7 linked regions of the Canis lupus familiaris genome follow. The protein of the gene in region 5 purifies or fractionates together with the protein of the main gene of each other region. This does not show direct contact. Links are inferred from orthologs where the notes say so. Each region holds a gene or a part of one and is shown on either strand. Other genes may lie near its edges.

Region 1 (4,160 bases), on a different chromosome or scaffold from region 5:
AGTTTTTCCCCACTCAGTTCCCCTCCTTTCCCCTATGGTCCCTTTCACTATTTCTTATATTCCACATGAGTGAAACCATATAATTGTCTTTCTCTGATTGACTTATTTCATTCAGCATAATATGCTCTAGTCCCATCCCAGGGGAAGTGAATGGCATAGGTATTCATCTATCTTGCAGTTTGACTCCATCTTACCCACGCAGGATTTTGTAACATGATGCATTGATCAGCTGGAGAATGTTGGTTCACAGAGTTTGCAGCCCTTCCAAAGGCACAATGGGAAGCTCCACTGTACACTCCTGAGTAAAAGGAAATGTCTTTGTACAATCATGAAAATAGTTCTGGCCTTCTGGATTCCCCAAATTGGGGTGGGGGAAGTAGCCACACCTACTTTGAGAACCAGTGACCTATGCTGGCTACCGGTTTTGTTGCTAACCAACAGCTTCTGCAAAAACAAAGAAAAGCCCAATAAATAAAGTCACTTATACTTTCGCCTTCTAGCAATAAATCCGTGTTGAAATTTTGGGTCACTGGCACCTCTCTTCAGAGGCAGGGACTGTGTTTGATTGATCCACAAATTCCAGATTGAGCTCAGCGCCTGGTCCTTATAAACACTAAAAAAATGTTTGTTTGTTTGTTTTTCCTGTAGTTTTGTAAGGTGTCCTTTCCATTTAGCCTTGTCAATTTCGCAAAAAGTATTCTTTAATAACTACACTAGATAATATAGTTTTCAGGTTCAAACTCATTTAAAAAAAAGCATGACTTTGCCTTAAAGATTAATATCATTTTGGGGATCCCTGGGTGGCGCAGCGGTTTGGCGCCTGCCTTTGGCCCAGGGCGCGATCCTGGAGACCCGGGTTCGAATCCCATGTCGGGCTCCTGGTGCATGGAGCCTGCTTCTCCCTCTGCCTATGTCTCTGCCTCTCTCATCTCTCTCTCTCATAAAAAAAAAAAATTAATATCATTTTGCAAGAGAGGAAAAAAAAAAAAAAAAAAAGGCCAGGTCTGGAGGGCGCCAGAGCAGACGCCTGGGGAGCAAGGCGGCTCAGAGCCTCTCGCCCTCGGCCGGACGCCGCACCCCGGGGAGCCCCTGCCGACGCCCTGGGGGAGCGAGCTTCGGCGCCCAGACACACTGAGCATGCGTGGAGCTCGCCCGCGTCCCGTCCCGGGAGAGGTTAGAGGTCGCCAGGAATTAGCCCCGCACCCCCGCCCCGACGCCGGCACTCGGAGGAATCCGCTGCCACGCTGCTCCACGGGGCGTGGGCGCCGCTGAGCGCTGGAACGTTGCTCGCGGCAGCTGCCCTCCGGCTCCTCCCACCATCTCCCCTTCCTTCACTATAGCAGGCCCGCGGCAGTCGGAAAAACCCGGACGGGCGGACGCCTCCGGCTGCGGACCGACTTCCCTTCCCGGGCAGGAAGGGAGGGGGCGGGCGGAGCGGTGCGGCCCGCGGGCCGCGCATGCGCCGCTCACGGGCAGCCCCAGGAGTGGAATCCAGTTGCCGGATTCGCCGCTGCGCCGGGAGTGCGCCTGCGCGGTCTCCGGGTCCCTCCACCTCCGCTTCCCCTCCCCCTGTCCCCCCTCGGGGGCTCCGGGTCCGGCGGGACCATGTTCGCCAGCACCGGCTCCAGCGGGCTTTGTGAGTACCGGCCGCCGCCATCCTGGCTCTTTCCCACGCGGCACCCTGGGCACCTCCTTGAGAAGCCTGGGGGCAGCGGGGACCCTCGGGGTTGTAGGAGGTTTGGGGGCCGACCCTCCATCCCCGCGCCCGAACCTTGGGGGCTCCTCCTGCGGGTGAGGGGCGGCGGGCCCGGCCCCCCCTCCCCCGCCCTCAGCCCGGAGGGGCCAGTGGGCGCTGAGTCCCGCCGGCAGCCCCGGCCCTCACCTGTGAACCCCAGGTACGATGCTCAGGTGTTCCAGGTGGACCGGAAAGTTAGGGTCGGCCTGGGCGTCCCGGTGTTCTCCGGGCTCGACCCCTTGCGCTCCGCGGCGCGGGTGCCAGGCTGAAAGAGGAGGCTGTCCTGGTGGAGCCGATGCTGGAAGCCTGCCCCCTTCCCAGTCACCTTGCTCCATTTAGGCTACAGAGGGACCGAACTGGCTCCCCCCCAGGTGCACATTCCAGCCTCGGTCTCAGGAGCCGACCCCAAGGGTTTACTTAGATTTTTTTTCTTCCTCGGTTTCCCGTGAGAGTTTTTCGACAAATAAAAACTGATTAAAGTACATTAAAGTGGAAGGAAGTGAAGAAGTCATCTGGCAGGAAAGTGCGGACATTGCTGCTGGATGTTGCTGTCATCGTTCACTTGAACGTCCGCGGTGGTCAGCAGATAGAGGGCAAAGCAGTGCATGGAGCCTTTTAAATGACAATTTTTTTTTTTTTTTTCGCTGAAATTGTTTAGTTGGCTTTCGGTAAGGTGGACTGTATGTTAAGTAAACAGCACCGAGATTAGGCACTGGTACAGTAACAGGAACTGTTTGAACAGGCGTAATTTAAAATTGCTTGTCACTGTTGGTACTTCAGAGCTCTCTGCACGCGAACTTAATCGTGCCTCAGTATGGAAGCAGTTGACATTTTCAAATATTAAAAGATGTATTGTGATTGTCAGAAATCTTTTCTGAGAATACAGGTCTCAGTCCGAGACTGCCCATCAGAGCCACAGGCGCAAGGTTAAATCTTCCTCTCTCAACCTCTCGGGTTCTGGAGCGGGTTGAGTATTTATGATTTTCCTTGTTTCATAATTAATTCGATTTATGGTACTCGTTGGCCTCAGAGTAGGTTACAACTACGAGCTAATCTTCTCCAAACCACCCTTGAGATAAAATACATACACATAGGACTGTTGATACTGCTGGTCAAGAAAGTGGTGATTTTCTTGGGATCACACAGTGAGTCCTACACTGGTGGATATAAAATTAATGGTAGAATCTTCCATTTTAGTTATTTCAGCATTCTGAGCTATTTTTACTTGCTGACCAAAATACATGAAAAAATTAAAAAGGTTACTATACTGCATTACTGGGTTACTGGTTACTGCTGGTGATTACTATATTGTAGTAGCCATTGTATTGCAAAGTTTATTCAGATGTGATACGTGGTGACATTGGGGTTAACACTTGATCACGTGGCACAGGGTTGATGAGTACTGAATTCTAGGAACCAAACTCCTACCCAGGGAGAGGCATAGGCCAAGGCTTAGGCCAGGGCCTAAGCTGTCCTGCCCTGTTTCTAAAGTAAGTGTTTCCTCAGGGTAAGACTTGATGGGATGAAAAAAAAAAAAAAAAAAAAAAAGACTTGATGGGATGGCCATTCCTCAGAAGGCCATGTCTTCTGTGCCCATTTAACAAACATTTTGAACATCGATTGTGAGCTAGAAACTGCTAGGTGCTGGGATTGCGATGTTGAACACGTCTTGGTCCCTTGTGTTTGCAGTGTTTACAGTGGACTTTGGGCGGTTTTTCCAGGACTGGTCTTGGCAAGACTGGGTATGAGCAGTTACCTACTTTAAAATTTCTCCTTGCAAGGCTACCCACTGAGAAGTAAGTGATTTCATTTACTAAGTTGTATGGCTCTTTGGCAAGTCAAAGCTCAGATTTTAAGTTAAGTATCCTAAGGAAGGCTAATCTGCCTACCCATGACCCCATGGATGATGAGTAACATTCTCTTTTCAAGAGAAAAAGTCTCTGCATTTCCTACCACCTGCATAGGTTCCTCATTTTGTGACTGGTAGATAATGGGGTTTTAGTGTTACATTTGCCTTCTGATTTATTTATTCATTAAGTGTCTATTGGGTAAGCCACACACTGTGTACAAAGGATAGAGAGGTAAACAGGATAAAGGAGACCAACATGCAATAAGTTAACAAACAGTGTGATTTCCCTTAGTGTTAAGTGTCATGAAGACAAGATGAGTGTAATGGCATGATTGCCTGCTTCAGCAAGTGTGGTCAGGGAGGGTAACCTGGGAATGTGACATTTGAGGTGAGAACCAAATGGTGGGAAGGAGCCAGCCACGTCAGAATTTGTCAAAAAATGTGCATTTTGCAGAAAGGGAGCAGCAAACACAAAGACCGAAACAGGCACGGCAGGGCATTTTCAAGGTACTAAAGAAAGCTGGGTGTTAAATCAAGGGTAGGGCATTTTTGACTGTCTTTGAAACTGTATTGCTC
Region 2 (4,388 bases), on a different chromosome or scaffold from region 5:
CTGTAAAGTGACACTGAATTCGGGGTAATTTTTATGTTCTTCTTTATACTCTTCATAGTAAGTTTCCCATGTATTAGTGTTAATTATATAAAGTACTAAGATAGTGTTAAGGTAATCAGGAAAAAACAATCTATTTTCATTTTGGGGAAAAAAAAGGCAGATCTACTACAACAAATGTTGGAATGTCCAAATAAATTGCCACTTCTTCCAATCTCTATTATTCATGCTTTTAAATTAATTCAAAATTTTCTGATAATCTATTGCAAGAGGAAATTATTCAATAGACTGCTACTGAAGGTTTTAAAAACTCCAGATAAATTAAACCTTAAGTAAATTTTAATACTTACCCTAAGTCCACCTTCTGGTGGGGGCCCAGATTCAGCCATTTGTTTTTCTATTTTTTCCTTTTTCTTTCTTTTTTCTTCCACAGACCGAACATCCAGAATGCCCCGAGATGCAGCCTTTAGAGAATGTATTAAGTGGTACAGGGAAACAACAAAATCAGTATTCAATATCCAAAAGGTGTGGGTTTGTTGCTTTTTGGGTTTTTCTTGGAAGGTGAGGGGTTTTAATTCTGGCTATAAAGAGCTAGACTATTTCTATAAGAGCTTCATAGAAAACATCTTACTATTTCTTCATTGGGTATTTTTTTCTGTAAATCTCACATCTGTCAGTGTTTTAAAAGGCAAGGTAGCATTATCCCAGGGAAGGAGGTCATTTAAGGGCCAATCTTATGTTACAGAAGACGTCTGTAATCTTCATGTATTAAATGATATAAATGCATTTATGTAACCTACAGAAATCATTTTGAAAAATGACTACATGTAAATTTACACGTTAGCGGACAGCATTTTCACTAGAGAACACTAGTAATAAATAGAATAAAGTACACAGTTATCTCTGTGGGCAGGATTTTATGTCTACTCTTACCTCCTTCTGTCTTCTCTCTGCAGCCTCTGCAAGCTTTGCTCTTTTCTCTTCCTAAAGAAAATGTGTAAAAGCAGGTTTTTAGAATCAAAGCAAACATTATCGCGGAGAAGTCCTGTCTTAGAGGCGATGTAATTTACAAAAATATTTAGTATTTGTTCAAAATGTCCACTAAGACTGTCGCTATTTACACTGTTTAGGAAATCCTCAACTTCCTGAATGTCATCCTCCCAGTTGATATTACCTTCAGGTAAGCACATTTAAGACACATTTACATAATAAATGTTTTATATGCATATAAGACATACACAAGATCGGGTTGGCCTGTAAAATTATTTATTATTTATTACTTATTTTTTAAAAAGGGGGGCTTATACGCTAGTCAGGGCAAGAATATAGAACAAATGACTTTTAGTAAGACAAGGAGCGGAATGCGTGGTTTGAAGTAGGCTGGGGTTTCCGGGAAATGTCCACGGATGACCAGGGCTCATGCCATCGTGCAGGACACCAAGCCCCGAAGGAAACTTGTTAGGAGGCCCTGCTCCATGCTGGGACACGGGCGGGGGGCGGGGGGGGGGGGTCCTCTTTCTATCCTGTACTGCTGGCCTTGGTAAGTTCCTTAAAATCTCTAAGACAGTAAATAGAATTCTCTTGGCTGCGTTTGTTTTTCATGCCACAATAAGCACATCCATTCCTCCACTGCACGCGCAGTTCCTGGGCAACTACCTGCCCCAGGACCTTATTCCAAGCGCTGAGGATGCAGCGGTGAAAACACGCCAATGTGTCCACACGCGATGGGCGGACGGAGGTGAGTGCAACCGGGTGGGTGCAGGTGCTGCACAGCCGTGGGCGCTTTGAGGGGATGCACAGGGGCGTGCGGGGGATCAGGATGGGGGCCGGGGGGGTCCGCTTCAGCTAGGGTGGCCCCCAGCAACTGCAAAGGTGGGTGACATGCGGGTGCGAGCCCTGTGCCCACCTGGGGGAGGGGAGGGCCTAGCCGACACCGGCGGGCAGGGCAGCAGCGGGGTCCCCGGGGCAGCAGCGGGGTCACCGGGGCAGCGGGGGCGGCAGCGGGGCGTGCGGCAAGCTCTCCCCCAACAGCTCGCTTCCTCCACCGCCTTCTCCTCGGACGACGCCAGGGGCGGGGTGTCCGCGGAGCCACGGCCGCTCCCGGCGCCCGACCCCGGCCCGACCCCGACCCCGGCCCCGACCCCGGCCCGGCCGCGATCACTCCCGCGTGAGCACGTCCCAGCGCTGCCGCCCGGGAAGCGCCGCCCTCGCCCGGCGGGACCCGGGCCCCGGGATCGAGCCCCGCCGCCGGCGCCCCGCACGGAGCCTGCTGCTCCCGCGCCCGCGTCTCGGCCTCTCTCTCTCTCGCTCTGCGTCTCACGAATAAATGAATAAAGTCTTAAGGAAAATAAAATTAAAAAAAAAACAACTTGGAATTTAAGTGGGCGCCCTGCGCTTTGTATTTGCTAAATGTGGCAACGTCACAAATCGTCCCCTCGTGACCGCGGACAGCGCGCGGTCCTCGGAGGAGGGAGGGAGGGAGGGAGGCAGGGAGGGCTCAGGCTCAGCCCCGGGGCGCGGATCCGGGGGGCGCCCCCGCCCCGCCCCCGCCCCCGCCCGCGGAGGCCCAGCGGCCGCACCGCCCCTGCAGCCCGGCGGGCACCGAGCCTCGGCCCTGCAGCGCCGCCTCGGAGCCGCCCGTCTCCGCCGCCGCCTCCCGCCGCCCGCGCCTCCCCTCCCCCCCGGAGCAGGTGCGCGGTCGGCGGACGCGAGCTACGGGCCGGCCGCGGCCTACTCACCAGGGCCGGCGACGGGGGCGCCGACTCCCCGGGACACGGAAAGCACAGCCCCATGGGGACAGCGGCTGGGGGCCCGCGGGCCCGCCCCGACCCGACCCGACCCGCAGTGCGAGCGGCGCCCGGAGCGCGGCGGCCCAGGTTCCTGCGCTCGCCCCGCCCCCGCCCGGCCCGGCCCCGCCCCGCCCCGCCCGGCCGGCCCCGCCCCGCCCGGCCGGCCCCCGGCCCCGCCCCCGCCCCGCCCCGGCCCCGCCCCCGGCCCGCCCCGGCCCCGCCCCTTGTGGCCACGCTCCGCCCCCGCCCCGCCCCGGCGGCAACGCCCCGCCCCCGGCTCCGCCCCCCAGGACAACGCCCCGTCCCTTGTGGCGACGCTCCGCCCCCGCCCGGCCCCGCCCCGCCCCGGCGGCATCGCCCCGCCCCCGACTCCGCCCCCCAGGACAACGCCCCGCCCCTTGTGGCGACGCTCCGGCCCCGCCCGGTTCCCCCCCCACACTCCGTCCCCTCTCCCGCGGCTTCGCCCCGCCCCTCTACGATAACGCCCCGCCCATGGCCCCGCCCCCGCCACGGACCGCCCTGGCCCCGCCCCTCCACCACGGCTCCGCCCCCATCTGCGGCAACGCCCCACCCCTGGCCCCGCCCCCACTCCATCCCTCTGCGGCAACGCTCCGCCGTGGCCCCGCCCCTCTGCCGCGCCCCGCCCCGCCCTGGCTCCGCCCCCTCCCGCCTGGCTCCGCCCCCTCCCGCCCCCTCCCGCCAGACCAATGCCGGGGGGGGGCAGACGAGGCCTCCGCCCCAGGTGGCCGGGAGCCTGCTGCGTTTGCGCAGAGAGCGGGAGGGAGACAGAAATAGAAGCCCCACATTCTCTTTATTCATTTGTCAGTGGGCAGATTAAGTTGTTTTCATAGGTTGCCTTTTTAATACCGCCATGAACTTGGGGTTACAGGTACCTCTTCATCATAATCCTTTGGTGTCCTTGTCCATATACCCAAAAATGAGATTCCTGGGCCATTTACAGAGCAGTTTTAATTTTAATTGCTAAGGAATCTCCATAACGCTTTCCATGGTGGCTGCGCCAGTTGACCATCCCAGCAGCAGCTACAGGGCTCCCTTTTCTCCACATCCTGGCCAGCAAGGCCCTCTTGTCTTTTAGGTAAAAGACATCATAGCAGGTGTGACTCGATACCTCGTCGTGGTTTTGATTTGAATTCCCTGATAATTAATGATGTTGAGCGCATTTCAGTGGCCATTCATTCATATATTGTTGGAAAAATGTCCATTTAGGTACTTTGCTCATTTTTAAAAAATTGGGTCATTTATGGTTTTTTGCTCCAATTGTAGGATTTACTTGTATATTTTAGATGTTAACCCATCATCCGATATGTGATTTGCAGATATTTTCTCCATTCCATAGGTTGCCTTTTCACTTTGTAGCTTCCTTTGCTGTGCAGAAGGGTTTTTTAGTGTGATGTTTATTTTTTGCCTTTGTTGCCTTGCTGTTGGTGTCAAATCCAAAATATCACCAAGACCAAGGGCAGTGAGCTTACTGCTTATATTTTCTTCTAGGAGTTTTATGGTTTAAGGTCTTATGTTCAGATCTCTCATCCATTTGACTTGACTTTTGTGTATGGTGTTAAGACCATTTTTTGTTCTCTTGCA
Region 3 (3,626 bases), on a different chromosome or scaffold from region 5:
TGCTCCTCGCCACATTGGAGCACAGCGAGGAGGCGGCTGTCACCATGGTGGGAAGAGAGTCCTCACCAGAAAGCGAATCAGCCAGCATCTGGATCTTGGACTTCCAGCCTTCAGAACTGGGAGAATAAATTTTTAGTGTTAAAGCCCCCAGTCCATGGTGTTTTGTTACGGCAGTTTGAGCAGAATAATATACCCACATAACTAATTTCAGTCGAAGTGAAATAGGTCTAAGACACATCACAGCACTCAACAGGTTAGCAGGCACAAGCTCAGCGCAGAGGTGGCTGGATAATGAAATAACTGCTCAACGATCAAGTAAAACGCTGTCTTCCTGCAGGTACAATCGCAGACAGTGAACTAAACCCAGAGCAAAACAAACACAAACCAACTCAAAGCCAACCACATGCAGGTGGGCTGAGCCACCCTGAGTGGTTCTGGTGTGTGAAGACAGAGTGGGGACGAATGTGCGGAGTAGGAGATGCTGCGGTGGTGAGCACGGCACAGCCGGGTCTGACGGGACAGGAGGCCCCTCCAAGAGCAGCATGGATGGGTTGGCAAAGCATGTGAAACAGGGAGGGGAGGCCTGACCGGTCACAACCCCCCTGTAGCGGAGCAGCGGGGCTCATTCCATACAAACTCTTTGTTACCTAGACTAGCGACTCTGCCCACTGACAACCTGCAACAGCTAAGATCTTTCACGATGACTTAAAAACTGGATTTTTCTCAGGACATGATCAAATTTACCTTTAATTTTGAGATCATGCTCGCCTCGGCATCATCACTGGCACTGTTCTGATGTACGAGTCTTTTGGCCAGCATCTTTGCGTAGAATTTCTGAAACACGTCTTTATCCTCTATATACTTGAAGACCACCATCTAGTGAAGTCACCAAGAGAGCAGATTTAATGCACTAAACACACGCCGGCAGCCGACACAGGTGCTTTATTTTGACTGGCCTGTGTGCCAACGTTTACAGTGGTAAAAAAAAAATACCATCCACAGTCTTGAAATATTTTCATCAACCCCTTTAATCATATTAAGTTGGTCTAGACTTAGTACTAATGAGGAAAGTACGAGTGCTAAAATTAATGACTCAATTTAGGGAGTAAAACCATAGATATGAAGTAAAATAAATGATCCTATTAATTTTCACATTTCAGATGCCCTATACAAGTAACCTTAAAACTTGGGAGATAAACTGCTACTGGAAACCAGAGTGATTAGTAAGAAGCGCCTTACCACTTGGTTGAGCGTGTCTTCTAGCTCTGCTTCTTCTGGATTCTTGGAACTGGAAAAAAAAAAAAGGTATACTGTTTTCAAACAAATCAGTAAACATTTACTCAGCAAGTACCACTGAGCCAAACTTTTCTCACCTATGGCAACGTGGCAATCTTACACTGAAACTATCACGGAAGAACATGTTTACGAAATAATCGTTTTGGACATGCAAGATGAAAATCAACAGAGGATACTTATTAAAGTCTGCCCTGAACATTCAAGCTTTCCTTTCGTTTCTGAAAGGAAATCTACCTAAACACAAAATAAAGGAACTTTACTTTGCCAACTGCTTCCTATAATATGCTTTAATTTAACTCTGAAAAAACCAAAAGCACATGTAGATTTCTAATGGCCTAAGCATTAAAGAAAACAAAACTGTTTAAAGCCACTAAAGCACTGCCTTCCTCTGTGGTTCTATGTAACAGAGGGCTGCCCTTAACAACTAATTCTTTCTCTTTTATGAACAAGTATTAACTGAAAGGTGACTCTAGGGTAAATGAAATTTTTAAGGTTTTATGAGTCCTTCATAGATAAGATCCCCATAAGTTCACATGAAATGATCCAGCTCATGATCCAGCACATGAAATGACCAAACAAGCTCTGGAAAGGTATTTCTAAGAAAATCCAGTCCTAGTCCTCACACAGGTAGCCCAGGGTGGTTTTTCTCTCTGGAAGAGTTTTCTTTCTTAGCTCCACTCACTAGTGCGTGCTCACTGAAGCAACCCTAGCATGTGTCTGCCATTCTGTCTGCTTTGGCAGCATTAACTAAGAAACAACACACCAAGAGACTTGGTGAGGGCCTCTTGTGAAAAGGCAACGTATAAAAAGGATAATAAGTTTTTTGCCAAACTGAAGGTCTGCTAAAGCATGTTATTAAAATATTGAAAAAAAAAAAAATAAAATAAAATATTGAGAATTTTCATATAATCTAGCCTAAAAAAAAATGAAATCAGGTCAGAGGAGGCATTCCACTTTAAAGTCCATTTTTATTCTCGAAGGACTACAAGAAAAGATCGGACTAGAACGGCTGAATTATACACTGACCAGACTTGCAATAAATAGAAAACCACCCCCAAATACCCCATTTTCACCAGCCTTGGGGACATGGCTTTCTGGCAAAGTCAGAGAGACAGCTAGTGACATTATCAAACGTTTTCCCACGTCTGCCAGGAAGACCACATATACTTCCGTTAATATAGTAAATTACGTTAAATTTGCTACCACCAAGCCATCCCTACATTCCTAGGACACTATACTATGTTCTGGAGAATTATTCTTTAGTTCTCTAATAAATTTAGTCTGCTAACACTTTACTTAGGATTTCCCCAACTCTGTTCTGGGACTTGTTTCCAGTGTTTTTCTTGGTACATGTAGGTATCCTCAGTGTTTTCTGCAGTGGGGTTAGGTGAGCCTTTAAGAGATGTTTATTCATCTCAAAACCAGGACAACATGGGGGCATGGGAAATGACTGCGTTTGTTGATGGATTGCTGGAAAACTGAAACAGAAGCTGAGAATACCCAAATACACACAACCTGGAACCCTAGAAGCACAACGCAGAGGAGAGAGCCACAGGAGATCATGGGGCCTCTAGCTCTTAATAGACACACACACACAGAGGAGGAGGAACAGGTGAGAAACATGATGGTTTAAAAAAAAAAAAAAAAAAAAAAAAAAAAGAATACGGGGGCAGCCCAGGTAGCTCAGCAGTTTAGCACCGCCTTCAGCCCAGGGCTTGATCCTGGAGACCCGGGATCAAGTCCCACATCGGGCTCCCTGCATGGAGCCTGCTTCTCCCTCTGCCTGTGTCTCTGCCTCTCTCTCTCTCTCTCTCTGTCTCTCATGAATAAATAAATAAAATCTTTAAAAAAATAAAAATAAATAAAGAATACGAAGGGCGCCTGGCTAGCTCAGCTGGTGTAGGGAGCGACTCGATCTCAGGGTTGTGAGCTCAAGCCCCAATCTTTAAAAATATATAAATGTAAATATACACATACACAAAGAATACGAAACAGCAGTAAAACGAATTGATCACATGAAGATAAATGTTAAAAGTGCACACGATAATTCAAATGCCAGAGTGCACAGAAAGTCTTGTTTCAGAAAACAGCCAGTGGGAGCTCCCACAGGAGATCTTCCCTGGCATCATGACCGAGGCTCACAGAACATCCGCAGGGAGTACAAGAAGGACACTTACTCCTTCCTTCCTTGCCACCCTCGTAACCACTGCTTGACCAACCTGTGAACTTCATTTAGCTAAATAAATTCTATAATTCTCAAAGCCCACAGTAACATTAAAAAAAAACAAAAACCCACAATAAAAACCCACTAGAATTTATAACATGAAGTA
Region 4 (4,166 bases), on a different chromosome or scaffold from region 5:
GGCCACAATGCTAGGTAATGAATCCTAATCCTCTCCACTGATAATTTGGTTCTTGGATGTCTACTAACATCATCTTCCAATAATGTAGTCACAAAATTATTCATCTGCATATTCCAAGAATCTAGAACAGTGCCTGGCAGGCAATAATAGTCCAGTAAGGGCTCCTTCTGAAGCCATCTCAATTCCATTTTGGAAGAGTCTTCATCCATCAAGTTGGGATCTGAAGGGTGAGTGGGCATTAGGCAAAAGAAAGGAGGAAGCCAAGTGTGGGGAGGATGGAGAAGGATCTTCCAGGTATCGGGGACAGCAGGAGCAATGCTGGAGTGTGGCCCTGTGGCAGGGAACTGGCTTGGCTGGGGGTGGGGTGGGGGTAGGGGTGGTGTCTGGAGGAGCCGTAGGTCTTGGACAGAGTCAGAGAACGTGTCCCCTCCCACTCGAGCAGGAGAGAGGGAGGAAGGCAGGCAAGTGTGTAGTCTGATGGCAGGACATTAAGAAGGCTTCCATAGGATGGCTTCTACTTTCTCCCTGAAGAGGGAAGTAGGGATTCTTCTATGTGGGAGGAGGGGCAGGGAGAGGGAAGAGAGGAGAGGTTTCAGGAGAGAGGACAGGTCTGAAGTCACCGCGGAGGAGAGAGGAGACAGGACGGAACCGTGGGAAGTGGAAGGATTTCTTCTGAAGTGTTGAGGGTCCAGTAGAAGTTGGAGACCACATCTTTCCATTACCCCCAGGACCACGGCTGGTCAAGGTTTCTCCAGCCCCTGGGTGTGGGTGGACTGATGGATGGAAACTCCATCAGCCCTCAGGTGGGAGGGATGGAGAGGCCCCCGGAGAAGCGCAGGGGGGACTCTCCTAAGGGAATGGTCTGGGTAGAGGGCCTCGGGCTGGACAGGGCAGGGAAGAGGTAGGCCGCGGTGGGGAGAAAGGGCACAGGGCAACGGGCTGGGGTTTCCACCGTGGGGTGAAAGACAAATGGGTAGCGGTGACTGGGGTTGCCAGAAGCGTAGGGGTAGAGGTGAGGAGGGGCAGAGCAGGGGCAGAAGCAACTGATACCAAGGAAGGGATGGAAGTGGGGGTGCTGATGAGGAAGTTGGAGGGGTTGCCCTGAGGACAGACAAGGCCCCAGCTGGACTCATGCCCTAGAAGCACCCTGGCAGCCTGTAGGGTTCGCAGGAAACCAGTCCAGCAGCTGCCCCCCAAGCCGGGAACACTGAAGGGCTGGGGCCTGCCCCGAGGTCACGGGAGCCAGGAGCCCCCCCCCCACCTGCTCGCCCCAGGGCCGGGCTGGGCGGCCCAGAAGGAAGCACGTGGCCCCCTCGGGCGCGTTGCCCGGGAGACGCGGGCTGTTTACCAGCGGCCGGAGCCGGCGGACAGGCGGATGGAGCAAGGATGGAGCAGCGGCAGGTGAGCGCGCCGGCCACGGCCACCGCCAGGGTCACGGCCAGGGCGACGCCCCGGGGACAGGACGGGCCCGGGGAGAAGCGGCCACTCCCGGGGCCACGCAGGCCCGGCCCAGCTCACCGTTGCAGGAATGGGGCAGCTCCCGGGCTCCGCGGAAGCCCCGGGGCCTGGACGGGGACACCGACCCGCGGGGACCAGAGGCCGTCCCGCACACCGAGAGGCCCGAACCAGACCAGACCGGAGCTCCCCCAGACCCGTGCTCTTTCACCTGGGCGCCTCTCACTTTCTAGACGTCCCCTCCTGCCCCTCCCCCAAATGCCTGCTTCTGCTGTTCCAGCCCCTTTCGGTCTAGAGGGGCCTGCGGGCACTTGGAAGATCTTCTGCAGCTATCCTCCTCCACCTGCCCCTCCCCACGCTGCTCCTGCAACCGTCCCCACTGCCTTTTCCAAACCTTTGATCACTTGATGGCTTGCGGTCCAATTTCTCCACTCCCCCTTTGAAACGTGGCACTCTGCGTGGGACAGTGCATTCTACTCATTTAGTCGGGGGTAGAACTGGGAATGGTACCAAAGTTTTCTCCTGCTCAGGCCAACTACCATCTCCTGTTGATTCTTCTGAGTGCCTTTCATGCCTTTCATCCTGACAGCCTCACCAGGGGGGCGGGGTGGGGATTGGCAGGGGATAGTATTAACTGATAAACATTTTTAAAAGACCAATTCAAATGTATGCATCCTCGGTATACATCAGCAGATGGTACGTGGGTGGGTGTATTTTACTGCGTTTACCGTGGGTTTAGATTTGGGCTGTGAGTGGATGAGGGTGGTCTGACCCTGTGCTGAGGGGCGGGTGGGGGGGGGGCTCCTTAGGAAAGCAGGAGGATGGCCTCAGCCTTTCCTGTCACATGTTCTCCCTTTCCAGTTGATTGGGTGAGTAATCTTAAGGAATGGGTGCCTGCCCTTTTGGCAGTTCCCTGGAAACAGTTACCAATGTTTGTTTCCTGACTGCTAGCAAGCCTCTGGGGTGCAGCTATTCTGTTTAAGTAAACAGGCCACTTGCCTAATCAGCTGGCAGCTTGATGGATGCCTACACCTAGGTCTTGTCAAATCACTTTGTGGTTGAGCGATTGCCAGGCCTAGAGGTGGGGAAACGAGCTGAGCCGGGATAATGATGGGCTCTGCGTGAGTCTTCCTGGCCCCAGGGGCGGGATGGGCAGGGTTCGGGGACCCAAGGTGTGGCTGCAGAGGCACTGTTGGCCCAGGGTCCCCAAACACCTGTTTCCCCTGCTTCCCCTCTCCATGGGATAGATGCTGGGGAGAGCTGGTGCTCCCTCCATGTAACAGATGGTCCCCGAGCTCGGGAGGAGGCAGTGGGTTATGAAAGCAGGTTCGATGGAATGGTTTTACCTGAAGGAGGTGTTAGTCTCTAAATAACCATGAGTGGGCTTATAGGAATTAGTCATAATTGAGGTTTTTTTTTTTTTTTTTTTCTCTCTCTCTCTCTGAGATAGCTCGCAGTCATGTTATCTTATGACCAGGGTGTCTTGAATATGACACCCCCTGAACATGGATAATTATATAGTACCAAAAGGTATAGAAAGTGCATGCACATACTCAAGTTTTACTGTTAAAAATAATCCAGCAGAGAGCCTGCAAGAACACATGACTTTCCTCATCAAAGTTGTTAAGGAAGAGGTTTCTAAGTTACCAAACTTACTGACAGTTAAACCGTCCCGAGGCATGTGTGGGAGTTAGAAGCCAAGTCTGTGATAATTCTGTAGAAGCTGTGGCAAATTAATAGCCATTCCTTGAGGCGGGGAGGGTGAGCCGAGAAGGGGAGCTGGTTCCCGAGTTGAGCTTATCTTTGGCAGAACAGTTGGACAATTATGACCTTCTTGTGTCATCCTGAGTTAAAGTGCAGAGCTGCTTAATTGCAAGGGAAAGACTTTAGAACTAAACCAACAGGGAAGAAACCACGTTTTTCACAGTTGATCAGAAAATAGATTAAATTAACAAGGAGATGGGCAGGCTTTTTTCATGCCAAGGAGAAGGTTCCTGAACTCCCAGCAGCCAGACTGGGTGTGAAAGCCTAGCGAGAAGTGGAAGATGGGAGTGTGGAAAGACCCCGTCTGTGGACAGGGTAAAGCGAACACAGAGGCTTTTAAGTTAAGAAATGGAGGACAGGGATCCCTGGGTGGCGCAGCGGTTTGGCGCCTGCCTTTGGCCCAGGGCACGATCCTGGAGACCCGGGATCGAATCCCACGTCGGGCTCCCGGTGCATGGAGCCTGCTTCTCCCTCTGCCTGTGTCTCTGCCTCTCTCTCTCTCTCTCTCTGTGACTATCATAAATAAAAAAAAAAATAATTATTAAAAAAAAAAAAAAAAAAAAGAAATGGAGGACAGCTTTTGAACTGGCTAGTGCCTCGGGGATATAGGGGAAGACTGTGTTTTGTTTGGGTCTGGTCTTAATGGAGAGGGAGAGGATACTTTCTAAAATTTGGCAAGATGGGTGAGAGGCACCGAACGGTAATGTTAGAATGGAAGGCTGCAAGGCTGGCATTACATTGCTCAGGATTGTGTGACAAAGGTAGCGTGGAGTCAGTTTGAGGTGAGGATGCAATGAAAGTGTGGAATTAGAAAGCGTTATTAGAAAAGCATTATTTTGCATTTTTGAGGCAAGTTCAGAGGCTGTAGCTCATTAAAATCAGCCTTCCGGCGTTTCTGTGCAGTGGGCAGGGCAGGTGAACGTCCCAAAATAAGCCCAGCTGGTTAG
Region 5 (3,626 bases):
GTGGATCACTGTGTCTGGGGCAACAATGCAGTAAGGACTGGGATCTGTCTCCACTACTTTGAACTCTACAGCACGCATTCCACCCCGGACAAGGAAAATGTCTCCTGTGAGAGTAATTAGCACAAGTGCAGTCAGAGATGTCAAATACCAGAGCAAGTGAGAGTTCCTCACCAGAACCTGTTGTCTAAAATGCCAAGTTCACTAGATACTGCCCCTTTCCCCTTCCCACCTCTACCTTATTAAGCATCAGGCAAGAGGAGAAAGCTAAACTGTGAAGTGTCCCTCTGCCATTCAAGAGGACACTGAACAAAATCTTATGGGCTATAGGTAACCAAGCTTTCACAACAACCACAGATGATCAGACTGTGCTAAATATTAAATACACTTTGGACTGTGACACAGCCAAAAAGTGCCCAAGTCCTCCTTCTGGGACAAAGGAGAAGAGAGCTTACTCTACTGAAGCAGGGAATGATAGTAGGGAAATGGAGGAGTGGGAAGGAGGAGGAAGGAAGGAGAGTACACATGAGCGTGTATGCAGAATGTGTGTGTAAGCACACATATGAGAATGAGATAAAGACATTCCAAGATTTACTCCCAGGTATCCCTACAAACAACTATCCTTAAGCTCAGTCTTTAGAATTATCTCTCACCTTTCCGGATGGGTCGATAAGCTTCCAGGAAGTATGGCTTAAGGTATACCTCGAAGAGATTGCCAGTGATGCCTTCCACCGTGTCATCGATGGGTAGCACGTGGATACGTTTGCCGTACTTCACATCAGGACACGGCTGGATGCTGAGGATGACAAGCAGACTCCACATTACCAACCACAATGTAGCCCCAAACACTGGGCGTCTGAAAGTGCCTGGCACAGAGAGCTGACGGCAAGTAAAAGAAAAAAGGTAGGGATGGCTTTAGGTGAAGAGAGGAAGGAGGGCAGAGTGAGAGTGAGGACAAAAGAGCAGCCAAACAGAACTAAGACCAAGTCATACTTGGGGGAAGGGCAGTAGTAGGAGCCATTAGAAGAAGCTACAAATTTACATTAAAATTTTATTTTTTTTAGGTAAATTTAAAGTTGAACTAAAATGGGGCTGCTCACTCCCAATCAGTGAGCCAAAAGGAAGACCCACACATGTAAAGCCCCCAAAATGAAGAAATAGGAGCAAGGATCTTCAGTGAGAGATATCCAAAGATGACCCATTTGGCTAATATTAGTAACCCAAAATTACGGAGGCCGTAGTGGGACAAGTATCAGGATCAAAAAAATAAAACTGAAAAAAAAAAAAAAAAAAAAAGTCATCTCAGCCAGGTGGTCAGAGAAACTTGACGTGATTAAGCACCTCCAGAAGGCTACATGAAATCTAGAATCCATTAAAAATAATCAGAAGTCTGAGATGTTCCTGGCCAGTCTCAGATGTTCCTGACAGGGGGTTGGATAGCTGTGGCTAGTGATGACTCCAAGATGGGAAAGCTTCTTGCCTAAAGTTAAGTTTAAAATCTCTCAGATTGGGGATCCCTAGGTGTCCCAGTGATTAAGCTCCTGCCTTCTGCCTGGGGCAGGATCCTAGAGTCCCAGAATTGAGCCCCACATCGAGCTCCCTGCATGGAGCATGTTTCTCCCTTTGCCTGTGTCTGTGCCTCTCTCTCTCTCTCATGAATAAAATCTTTAAAAAAAAAAAAATCACTCAGATAGAAGCTGAAGCTATTCAGGGTCTGACTCAAACTATGCTTCTATTCTATATTAACTTTGATCCATAAAAAAACCCTAATCGGAAATTCGCCTTCTATGCCCACACTCCTACCTCATTCTGGTCCCAACACAAGCCATTATTTCAACATAACAGTGAGATTGTTTCATAGACACTCTCAAATGGTATCCTAAACCAGCGTTCAGCATGTTATAAATCATACCTCTGGCAAAAAAAATAAGTAAAGGTATCACAGAAGTCACAGAAATGCAACTTGTCCCAAGGGTCATGCAGAAGTAAATTCTGAAGTCTCAGGGAGGCAGAATCAAAACCTAAAGATAGCCCTGCTATATTAAGTCTTCCCATGGCTAGAAGGATTCTGCTATGGGTAGCTGCCAAGAACTTCATTAGTCCTGTCTATAATTCAGGCTGTCTCTGGCCTCCCATCCCTGAGGGGCTAAGAACCCCACACACACCTGATTACATCCCCTAGATGTACGCGAAGGTTATTCCGAACAACTCTATTCATTCGAATCTTCTCATCGGAACATGTGTCATCAGAAAGCACAATGCACACAGCTTCCCGCCTCTTCTTTCCTTTCAGCAATACTGTGTCACCTCGGAACAACTGCAGTTCATCCATCTTGGGCTGAGAAAAGAAGGTTAAGGCCTTTGGGTCACTGGGCCAAGGGGTAGGCAGCAGCCCTGGAGGCTGGAATTCCCAGTAAACCCCACTCTATCTGTGGTCACTGCAAAAAAAAAAAATGAGGAAAGAAACCTGGGAAAAGTCCTCAGGTTAAGTGCAATAAGGAAAGACTGAACCTTTGACCCAACTTACCTGGGACAAGGACACCACACTGTTGTCCTCATTGATGGCTTCATCGACAATTAACCGATTGGGACGATTCTTCTGTTTAAGAATGGCTGTTGATAAGTCATCACCTTTTGAACTAAAAAGAGAAAATGAATTTAGTCCCAATACATACTCCAGTCCCAGGGACCCCACCAGTCTTTAAAATTCACACTTACGAAAGAAATAGTGGATATATGAAGCTGTCCCTATGCCAGAGAGGTCAGATAAAGGATATTCAGCCACGGTCACGAAGAGTAACATTTAGCACATACAATTCCCATTCCAGCATCTCTTAGTATTCTGAGCACTGGTATCCTAGCTGTTAAGGCCCCAAGTGATCTTGCCCCAGAGTCAGGAAACTATGGCCTGAGAAGACTAAATAGAGGTAGAGGCTGAGTAGGACACCCAGGTGGCTCAGGGGTTGAGCATCTGCCTTCAGCTCAAGTCATGGTCCTGGGGTCCTGGGATCGGGGTTCTGGGATCGAGTCCTGCATCAGGCTCCCCACAGGGAGCCTGCTTCTCCCTCTGCCTGTGTCTCTGCCTCTCTCTGTGCCCCTCATGAATAAATTTTTTTTTTTAAAGTAGAGGCTAAGTAACAATTAGAGAAATGACAATAATCTTAGTATGAAAGAAACAGTGATTAGGAGAAGGGGCTATGCAGTCAGACCTGCTGGGTCTGAATCCCAACCCTGCCACTGTTTAATTGTCATCTTGAGCAAGTTACTTAACTTCTCTGGATGATGATGTCCTCATCTGAAAAGAAGCAAATACAGTAGTACCTATCTTAAAGAATTATCTTAAGTGAGATAATGAATGCAACAATGCCTGGCACATGGTATTAATGGTCACAATGATTACCACTGCAGAAGAAAGCATAAACTCTTCTTTGCTAACCTTCTTGGAGAATGAAGTGAGCAAGACAACTTCCTGTAGGACTCAGGGAGGCCCCAAGTCCCACCAAGCCTGGGGACAATGAAGTAGAATCATTAGCACTACCATCCTTACTGGCTAAACCTGCTAAATTCCAGAGCATTCTATATACCACAGAAATGCCAAGCACAAAGACTATGACATTTGGGGAAAACTA
Region 6 (3,626 bases), on a different chromosome or scaffold from region 5:
ATGCAACAACATGAATGACTCTCAAATGAAGTGAATAAAGCCAAATGCAAAAAGCTACATACTGTATGACTTTATAGGACATTCATAAAATGGCAAAAATCAGAATAGTGGCTAGGGGTGTGGGAGAGGGTAGTGCTATGAAGCGGTATAATTTTTGGGGTGTTAGAAATGTTCTAGATCTCGATCAAGGTGTTTACACACTGCAAAATTCAGAAAAACACACTGAAAAAGGGTAAATTTTGCTGTATGTAAATTACACCTCATTTAGACTTAGATTAATTTTAAATGAATGAAAGTATACATTTTAAAAAACATGTCTGAAACATGCAGGTAAAGTAGGTCTGATGCTGCAACAATGAGCTTTAAATCCAATCAGGAAGACAAAGAAACATCTCTCTCTCTCTTCTCCAGAGCAGAGGCTGCCAAATGTTGAGAGTTAGGATTCAGAACACTGGGCTTCAAATGCTAGCTCTCATCTTTACCCTGAGTTGTGCTCCCTGGTGCCCCACCTAATTTTCTTTTTCCAATGGCAGCAGCTTTTAACCTTAGGCCATTTTCTCATCCGGGCCTTTGGTGAACACCATGATAAAGAATTTAGCACTTTCAAAGGTGACTTTCTTCCTTTTGAGTCACTTCTTTCCTCAAATGTCAAGATGTTTATGGCAAGGAATAAAAGAGATGGGATTCATGTTGCTGGAGGCAGCATGCCTTGAATAGGCTGCAGAGCCAGGGGGCTGACCGGGGGTTCACACAGACTCCCATGACACTTTTTGCAGGCACAGGTGTGTAGGTCCTCAGCTTCTGGACAGGTTCCAATTTGAGTAATTATGTTCTCTCTCCCTAAGTACCCCCTACTGTTTCTGGTGGATACAGAATCCTTATTCACTTCCTGTACTAAACTGTGGTGTAGAGTTGCTGTGCAGCTGTTAAACAGCTGCCACATTCCTTTCTATACATAGTCTCTAAAGCACTTTTGGATGAAAGGCGCTAAAAAAACATATTTTATTGTCATGTATTAGTTGCCTTTCCACTTAGTAGTAGGTTTCGTGAGCTTCTAACTATCAAATCCAGATCTGTATTCCATACCACATCAATGTTTCATTTCTTTCCCTTCCTGTTCCCCAACCCCCTCTAAACAGCAAGGTTCTTACCACAAGGGTCCGTAGACAGAGAGTCCCTGCAGGAGCACGGGGGTCCAAAGCAGCTACAAGATCCCACACTTTAATTTTTCTAAAGATCCAAAAGGGGACAAAAATCTTAATTAAAAGCAAAATTAAGGGACCATGGGAAAAATAGCAAAAAGTCATGGCAATAAATAGGTATGATGAATGTAATTTTTTTTTTGATGAATGTAATTTATATGATAAATGCAGCTCACAAGAATATATAAGAACTTTTTTTTGTTTTGGAGACTTGGTTTTTGCATTCATTCTTGGGTAGAGGTTATTGGTCTTAACAGGGGAAAAATGTACAGGTTTAACCTAAAAATGAGAAATAGGTTAGCTCTAACCAAGCTTAAGTGAATGGTAAAGTTATACCATACTTTGGGGCCAGGAAGAGATCTTATATATTAGACTCTTAAAGACTGATAGAAGAGATCACTTAGACCTAGAAACCTACAATTGTGAAGTATCTTCTTTCTGGTCAATTCTAAGAATGGCCCAGGTAACCTGAACCAGAGGACTAGAGCCCATTGAAATACTCTGGAGTTTATACAAATTCCCATATTTTGATTAAAATAAGAAAAGTTTAGCTCTTCCAAGAACCAAACATATGGTCATGTCTCCTCAAGGTAAATAACAGACAAAACCCAAGAAAGGTGGGTACAGATAAAAACCAGGGCAATCAGAAAATACCATGTAACTGGAGTATGTTCTCACACCCTGAACAATCTCCCACAGGGTAGAACAGTGATGGATGACTCAAAGCAGAGAAAATGGTCTGTTCCTACTGTATGAGTTGTCTTAATCACTGCCAGCTCCTAAACTAAGGTAATGTAGTAAGGTAGTTTCTAATATTTAAAAAGCTGCCAAGATGTGAACTATAGCCTTCCACTCCCTCATGTCAGGCATCCTGACAAGAAGAAATAATAAAGAGGCCTTCATAAGTAAATACACTTTTATGTGAGTTTACTATGTGCTTAGCATTGCCGGACATGGGATCCATTCACAACATGAATGGATTTTAAAACCATTGGAAATTAGACCGAAGAAAATAAAGATTACTGAACTTGTCACTAAAATGTTAAGAGAAGTGAAGACAAGAGAGCTGCGCTTTTAGGAATTACTCAAAGACATCAAATTCAAGAGCCTACCACATTATGCCCCAAAGATACTGCCTCCAATATTTCAGTTTTATTAATAAGTCATTATTTTACACACATATCCTGGCATACTGTGTTTTCCTAGTTCTTTGCTTTATAGGTGAATCAAAACAGATGAATGCATAACTAAATAACTAAACTGTTAATGAAAATCACCAGGAAACAAGTGCAATTAAATGACTGGGAAAAATATCTTAGAAAAGTAAACAAAGGAGAGGGGAATACATAGATGAGACACAAGAAATATTGTATCAGATCCTTTCTGTAAAATCTATAATCTTTTAGAGTCAGGGAAATACTGTATTTAACATCCTCCGGTAGGAGGAATCAAGATGTACATTTTGTTTTTTAAACCCTGTTAGCAAACTCACCCATCATAGGCCCCACTGACTATCCTCTTGTTATCAAATCGAATACAACGCACCAGTTCCTCGTGGCCTTCTAACACTCGTAAACATGCACCACATTCTATGTCCCATAATCTGGAAGAGAAAATTGAGTCAAGTGAATTTTCATGTATTCTTTTCTAAGCTTGGCATGTTATAATACACTTCATATGTCTTCAAAAAATTCCACAAAAATAAAATCAATCAATACTCATACCAAATGTATTGCTTTCAATGTAATTTATTTCCTTTCTGCTGTATAACTCAGACAGAAAAATGTATGATTTAAGTTAAAATGAAATATATATTTTCAAAGCACAATGCTTTATATAAGTCTGTAACCAGGGTCTCCAAGGCATAAAAAGGATGAATTCAATGTACCCAGTTGCCTGTGAAGGAAATGACCAAGAAAAGAAAAGTAATGCTTCCTGAAATCACCAGTAAGAATGAGATACATGGGGTAGCCCGGGTGGCTCAGCGGTTTAATGCCTCCTTCAGCCCAGGGCGTGACCCTGGAGACCTGGGGTCGAGTCCCACATCGGGCTCCCCGTGAGGAGCCTGCTTCTCCCTCTGCCTGTGTCTCTGTCTCTCATTCTCTCTATGTCTCTATGAATAAATAAATAAAATCTTAAAAAAAGAATGAGATACATAGTGTCAGTGATATCCTGCCCTCACAAAGTATGTCCACCTCTGTTACTAATGACACTTTCTCTTTTCACCCATTGTTCAGGACAATTTTTCTCTATAATGGAAACAAAAGCAAGTTCTCAAAAATGCTTACATGCTAATTAAAAAAACTGGGGGCACCTGGCTGGTTCAGTCAGAAGAACGTACAACTCTTGATTAATCTCAGGCTTGAGTTTGAGCCCCATGTTGGGTATAGAAATTACTTTAAAAAAATAAAATCTTAAAACTAT
Region 7 (4,213 bases), on a different chromosome or scaffold from region 5:
TTAGGAGGCGGGTGCAAGGAAATCAGGAAATCCCTCCCCGCATTGGCGGTCAGCGCCAGGGCCCGCCCCTCCGAAGCTCCGCCCAGCGGCCGAGAGAAGGGGGCGCAGACAAAGGCTCCTGGAAGGTCCTGCACCCAGAGGGGAAGGCCGAGGTCCCCGGATTCATCCGCCAGTTTGGTGGCGACGGTGAGGTGGCGGGTGGCGGGTGGCGGGTGGGGGGTGGGAGGCCCCGCCCATCCTGATGTATCCGTGCAGACCTAGACTCAGACTCCTGCCCTATCCTTGCTGGGCGGTGCCTCCACTTCCCGGAACGACCCCTGGGGGAAGGGCGATACCTCCTCTCGCTGCCTCCCCGTGAGGTGATGGCGCCTAAAGCATCTGGCACAGTGCTCAATCAGTAGCGATCGATGTCAAACTGCCTCTCAGGAGAGGTGTGTTCTCGCCCTGACCTCTCTCCATCCTTCCACAGCCAGGGCCCTCGCTAGAGCAGGCGCAACTGTGCCAGGCACCGCTCCAGGTCCAGCAAGCAGAGCAGCAGCCCCACCCCCACCCCACCCCCACCCTCACCCCTGTCAGCTGCTGCTGGTGATGGGATGTCAAGGTTTGCTCTCTCCCCTCACCAGAAAGCCCACAGCCAATATGGGATCAGTAAACAGAAATGGTTAATGAACTGCCCCTCCACAGGGCAGATGTCAGCATCTGCTGGGCCTGGCCCCAGCTTTCAGCATTTTCTTTGAGTTTGGTCTCTGAAGACTTTCCAGGACAAGGAGTCCAGAAGGAAAAAGCTCAACTGCTGTCATTGGTCGGCCAAAAAAGGCAGAGGTGGAAAAGAAAGAAACAATTCCTCCCCCCACAAAATCCACCTCTCTCTGGTTTCATTGTTAGAAAGGATCAGACATTAATTTTTAAAACAACATAAAATAAGAAAATCAACCCAAAAGGAATAAAAATAATTAGCAAACCCATGAGGCCACAACTCTAAGAAGGAGGAAAAAAAATCTCAGCTGAGGACACATGTCCAGCATTCAGGCTATGGCCCCTGCCCTCTTCCCTCCTCCTCCTGCCACCTCCCTCCCACTACCCCTACCCCTAGCCCTAGCCCAGCTACAGCTCCGGGCGTGGACTTGCCTTTGCTTGATATGTGTCTGTCCGGGCCACAGAAAGGATGGGTGTATAAACAGATCATGACTCCGCTAGGCTCAGGCTGAACTCAGGGCTGCCCTCCCTCCCCCAGTGACCCCTGACCCTCTGAGGAGCAGATGTTCAGGGCAGGCCTGGCCCCTGTGACCACATTAATGAGCCCCCCGCCCCTCCCACCTGGCCAGGGCAGCTGTCAGTGACTGCCCCAGGAGCCCTGATTTGATTTGAGGCCATCATCCCCCCCGGCCTCCCCCTCTCCCAGCCCCCTTTCTGGGGCAGGCACAGCTGTTTCTTCGGGTGATTAGGGAGTCTCCCTGGTACCACCCCTCCACCCCATCCAAGTCGCCTCCACCCTAGAGAAGTTGCAATTTACATATCAGCCACGAGGCTGCCCCAGCCGGGTTGTAATTAGCTTTTTGTTCTTGCCTGGTTTCCATGGCAACAGCCTCCAGAGGAATCCCTTCCTTGGCCCCTTCCCCTCCAAGACTTGTCTCCTCCCACTGCCTCCTTTGGGAAACTCGCCCTGCACCACTGCACCCTGGGTCCCTGGCCTTGGTCCTGACAAAGCCACCCCTGGGGTCCCCCATTTTGTTCTGTGGAGTGTCCCAGTGGGCAGCAGGCCCCACCCACCCAGCCTGAGCCCTGGGCTGGACGTCTGCAGGGACGAGAGCTCTGGAAGATAGCATGGCTCTTTGGTCACACTTGCTGTGTGACCTTGGGCAAGAAATAATCTCCTTGGACTTGGGGACGTGACAACTGTCTCCTAGGTTCCAGTGGGGAATGATACCACCTTCTCATCCCCTTAGTCCCAAGGTCTCCGATGAAGGCTAACAATGGAGGGGAGGAGCCGCAGGGTGATGCAGCTCTCCATTCCAGAGCCCAGCTTTGTTCCCACAACCCACCCTGACTCCATGGTCCCTGAGTGGGCGCTGTCCAACCCCACCGGGCGTTTGTCCAGGCGGGGCTGAGCAGAGGGAGAGTCCAGTCCTGGGCCAAGGTCACCCCGAGTCTGGGCCCAACCCCTCCCCCAACAAAGGAACAGGGTGGGGTCAGGAAGCCGAGGTTCCAAACTGTATGTTTGGGGGCCTGTGTGGGGGGGTTCTGGCCACTTGGAGGGCATCCTGTTGGTGGGGGGAGCGGGAGCAGGGCAGATGGAATCATTTCGGCTTTGAAGGGGGTGTCCCACCCACACCTGCCCACCCCACCCATCTCGCTCAAGGCTGAGTTGCGACCCCAAGAAGAGGGCCACGCCCAAACCGTCCCCGCAGCTGCAGCCGCTGTGGATGGAGCTTAGTCGCCGACTTGGGCTGCGCTCCTGCAGGCCTGAGCTAACCCGAGCAGAAACAGAGGGCAGGCGGTGTGGACGTGGCAGGGCCGGGATCACCCCGGCTCGTCCCTTTGTTCTCGGCTTCGCGGTGGTAAGCGCGGCTCTGGGTGGGGACGCGGGTCGCGTGCCGGTGTCGGGGACCGAGCCTGGGGCGGGGGAGGGGACGGAGGCGGCGCGCGTCCTCACCTTGGCTCCGATCTGGTTGCCGCACTGGCCGGCCTGGATGTGCACGATCTCCCTCATGCTCGGTGCGTGTGGCGGGCGGCTGCGGGACACGCGCGGACGGGTCGGGGCTGGCTGCGGAGGGTCGGCCGCCCCCGCCGCCCGCTCTTATAGGCTGGGCCCCCCCGCAGCGCCCGGCCTGGCGTCACCGCGCGCGGCCAATCGGGGGACGCCGCCGCAGAATGCGGCACCGGCCTGCAGCATCAGCACCGCGCATCCCCGCCCGGCAGCGCGATGCGGCGCCTCCTCCCGCCGCCACCCGGGTCCGGGGGGCCCGTGGGGGGCGGGAGTCTGGGCCCCACCCCGCACACCGAGGGGAGGGGCTGGCGGGCTCCTGGGAGGACAATAGAAGCCCCTCTTGGCTCTCGGACCCCGCCCAGACTTCCCTCCCGGGTCCCACCGCTGCGGCAGCCCCACCCCGCGGCTTTGCAGACAGTCTTTCTTCCCCACACCCGCTCAGGGACCAACCCCATGTTCCATCCCAAAAGGACGCCTCTCCCTCTCAGCTCCCTGTCTTGTGGCATAAAGGGACGAACGAGGTACCCTGAGCTTTGCTGGGTCCCTTAGGGGTGGGAGAGGCAGGAAGAGGCTGCAGCAGACACTGAACCCTCCAGAAGAAAGCATGGAGCAGGGCTCAGAAACGCGGAGTCAGAAGGACGGTCGATTACAATGGCAGCTGTGAACTTCCCCGTCCTTCCCTGCAGTGGGGGGATGCCACCTGCCCCTCCTCCCTCAGGGGCTTTCATGAGATTCCAAATGGACCTTGCGCAGGGGGAGGCTTTGTACCCCAGCGAGGCACAGTGCCTGGTGTGTAATCGCTGCTCAGTGAATATTGATGTCAGGAATTATCGGAAGGACACAAGCCAGGTGAGGGACTGGCAGGGTGTGGGATGGTGGGCAGTGGTTTCTGTCTGATTCACTTCCTGATGTCACCTGTACTCCTGGACTTTTGGTCCAAGTGAGGCCAACACAACATTGGTGGTAGGGGCTATGTAGTGAGATGGTGTGTGCATAAGGCAGAGATGGGGGGGATTCTTGGAGAAAAAAAACTGGGAAAGGGAGTCCACTGGTCAGAAGAGAAAGGGGATGAAGTGGACATGCAGTACAGATGTTATGTTACACATACATATACCACTGGCTTACTATTCTTCTGGGGCCAGACTCTGTAGTGAAATGACCTTATAACAAGGTCCTTCTGATAGTTGAGTAAGAAATTCTCCCAGGAAGGGTCTCAGAGTGCATGGGTGTTCCACAAGCTGTTGGCTGAATAGGCCTGTGATGTGTCTGTGTCTGGGCTCCTCAAGAGTGCGTTGACAGGGTGTGGTCGTGCACAAGCCCCTCTTCCCCCGTCCCCCAAGCTCTCCAGTTTGGCTAGTCTAGAAATGGGTCTTTTGTTCTCAAGAGACACCCCTCCCCCACAATGTGTCCATGATGTGGCTTTCTGTGGTTGGCTTCCACTGCCTGGGGCCACTCCCTGTCCCCATTCAGGGGGTCCTTGGTGAGCATTTGGCTCTTCCCCGGAGC

Evidence for each region.
Region 1: the proteins of VCP (region 5) and UBAC2 purify together in Homo sapiens (affinity purification with mass spectrometry; 3 studies listed by BioGRID and IntAct, with this or other methods). This does not show direct contact. The link is inferred for Canis lupus familiaris from reciprocal best matches to the Homo sapiens genes VCP and UBAC2.
Region 2: the proteins of VCP (region 5) and SVIP purify together in Homo sapiens (affinity purification with western blotting; 3 studies listed by BioGRID and IntAct, with this or other methods). This does not show direct contact. The link is inferred for Canis lupus familiaris from reciprocal best matches to the Homo sapiens genes VCP and SVIP.
Region 3: the proteins of VCP (region 5) and CUL1 purify together in Homo sapiens (affinity purification with western blotting; 4 studies listed by BioGRID and IntAct, with this or other methods). This does not show direct contact. The link is inferred for Canis lupus familiaris from reciprocal best matches to the Homo sapiens genes VCP and CUL1.
Region 4: the proteins of VCP (region 5) and UBXN10 purify together in Homo sapiens (affinity purification with western blotting; 3 studies listed by BioGRID and IntAct, with this or other methods). This does not show direct contact. The link is inferred for Canis lupus familiaris from reciprocal best matches to the Homo sapiens genes VCP and UBXN10.
Region 6: the proteins of VCP (region 5) and BTRC purify together in Homo sapiens (affinity purification with western blotting; 4 studies listed by BioGRID). This does not show direct contact. The link is inferred for Canis lupus familiaris from reciprocal best matches to the Homo sapiens genes VCP and BTRC.
Region 7: the proteins of VCP (region 5) and TUBB3 purify together in Homo sapiens (affinity purification with mass spectrometry; 3 studies listed by BioGRID and IntAct, with this or other methods). This does not show direct contact. The link is inferred for Canis lupus familiaris from reciprocal best matches to the Homo sapiens genes VCP and TUBB3.

The regions. Positions count from the first base shown.
Region 1 is NC_049243.1:49,408,172-49,412,331, forward strand, and holds the start of UBAC2 (ubiquitin-associated domain-containing protein 2), read left to right. Parts: upstream 1-1,283; 5' UTR 1,284-1,605; coding exon 1,606-1,636; intron 1,637-4,160. UniProt on the Homo sapiens protein: Restricts trafficking of FAF2 from the endoplasmic reticulum to lipid droplets.
Region 2 is NC_049242.1:45,097,779-45,102,166, forward strand, and holds the start of SVIP (small VCP/p97-interacting protein), read right to left. Parts: upstream 2,894-4,388; 5' UTR 2,790-2,893; coding exon 2,736-2,789; intron 982-2,735; coding exon 931-981; intron 462-930; coding exon 348-461; intron 1-347. UniProt on the Homo sapiens protein: Negative regulator of the ER-associated degradation pathway (ERAD) of misfolded proteins. It competes with AMFR/gp78 for binding VCP/p97, and inhibits AMFR/gp78-VCP/p97 complex formation that is required for degradation of ERAD substrates.
Region 3 is NC_049237.1:1,659,903-1,663,528, forward strand, and holds part of CUL1 (cullin-1), read right to left. Parts: intron 1,289-3,626; coding exon 1,240-1,288; intron 877-1,239; coding exon 745-876; intron 1-744. UniProt on the Homo sapiens protein: Core component of multiple cullin-RING-based SCF (SKP1-CUL1-F-box protein) E3 ubiquitin-protein ligase complexes, which mediate the ubiquitination of proteins involved in cell cycle progression, signal transduction and transcription.
Region 4 is NC_049223.1:78,140,396-78,144,561, reverse strand, and holds the start of UBXN10 (UBX domain-containing protein 10), read left to right. Parts: upstream 1-1,255; 5' UTR 1,256-1,401; intron 1,402-1,518; exon of another isoform or gene 1,519-1,712; intron 1,713-1,849; exon of another isoform or gene 1,850-2,047; intron 2,048-4,166. Other genes in the region: PLA2G2C (putative inactive group IIC secretory phospholipase A2), read right to left, coding at 1,051-1,133. UniProt on the Homo sapiens protein: VCP/p97-binding protein required for ciliogenesis. Acts as a tethering factor that facilitates recruitment of VCP/p97 to the intraflagellar transport complex B (IFT-B) in cilia.
Region 5 is NC_049232.1:51,941,676-51,945,301, forward strand, and holds part of VCP (transitional endoplasmic reticulum ATPase), read right to left. Parts: intron 2,637-3,626; coding exon 2,525-2,636; intron 2,336-2,524; coding exon 2,163-2,335; intron 794-2,162; coding exon 651-793; intron 105-650; coding exon 1-104. UniProt on the Homo sapiens protein: Necessary for the fragmentation of Golgi stacks during mitosis and for their reassembly after mitosis. Involved in the formation of the transitional endoplasmic reticulum (tER).
Region 6 is NC_049249.1:14,342,818-14,346,443, reverse strand, and holds part of BTRC (F-box/WD repeat-containing protein 1A), read right to left. Parts: intron 2,806-3,626; coding exon 2,695-2,805; intron 1,231-2,694; coding exon 1,152-1,230; intron 1-1,151. UniProt on the Homo sapiens protein: Substrate recognition component of a SCF (SKP1-CUL1-F-box protein) E3 ubiquitin-protein ligase complex which mediates the ubiquitination and subsequent proteasomal degradation of target proteins. Recognizes and binds to phosphorylated target proteins.
Region 7 is NC_049226.1:64,180,483-64,184,695, forward strand, and holds the start of TUBB3 (tubulin beta-3 chain), read right to left. Parts: upstream 2,811-4,213; 5' UTR 2,711-2,810; coding exon 2,654-2,710; intron 1-2,653. UniProt on the Homo sapiens protein: Tubulin is the major constituent of microtubules, protein filaments consisting of alpha- and beta-tubulin heterodimers. Microtubules grow by the addition of GTP-tubulin dimers to the microtubule end, where a stabilizing cap forms.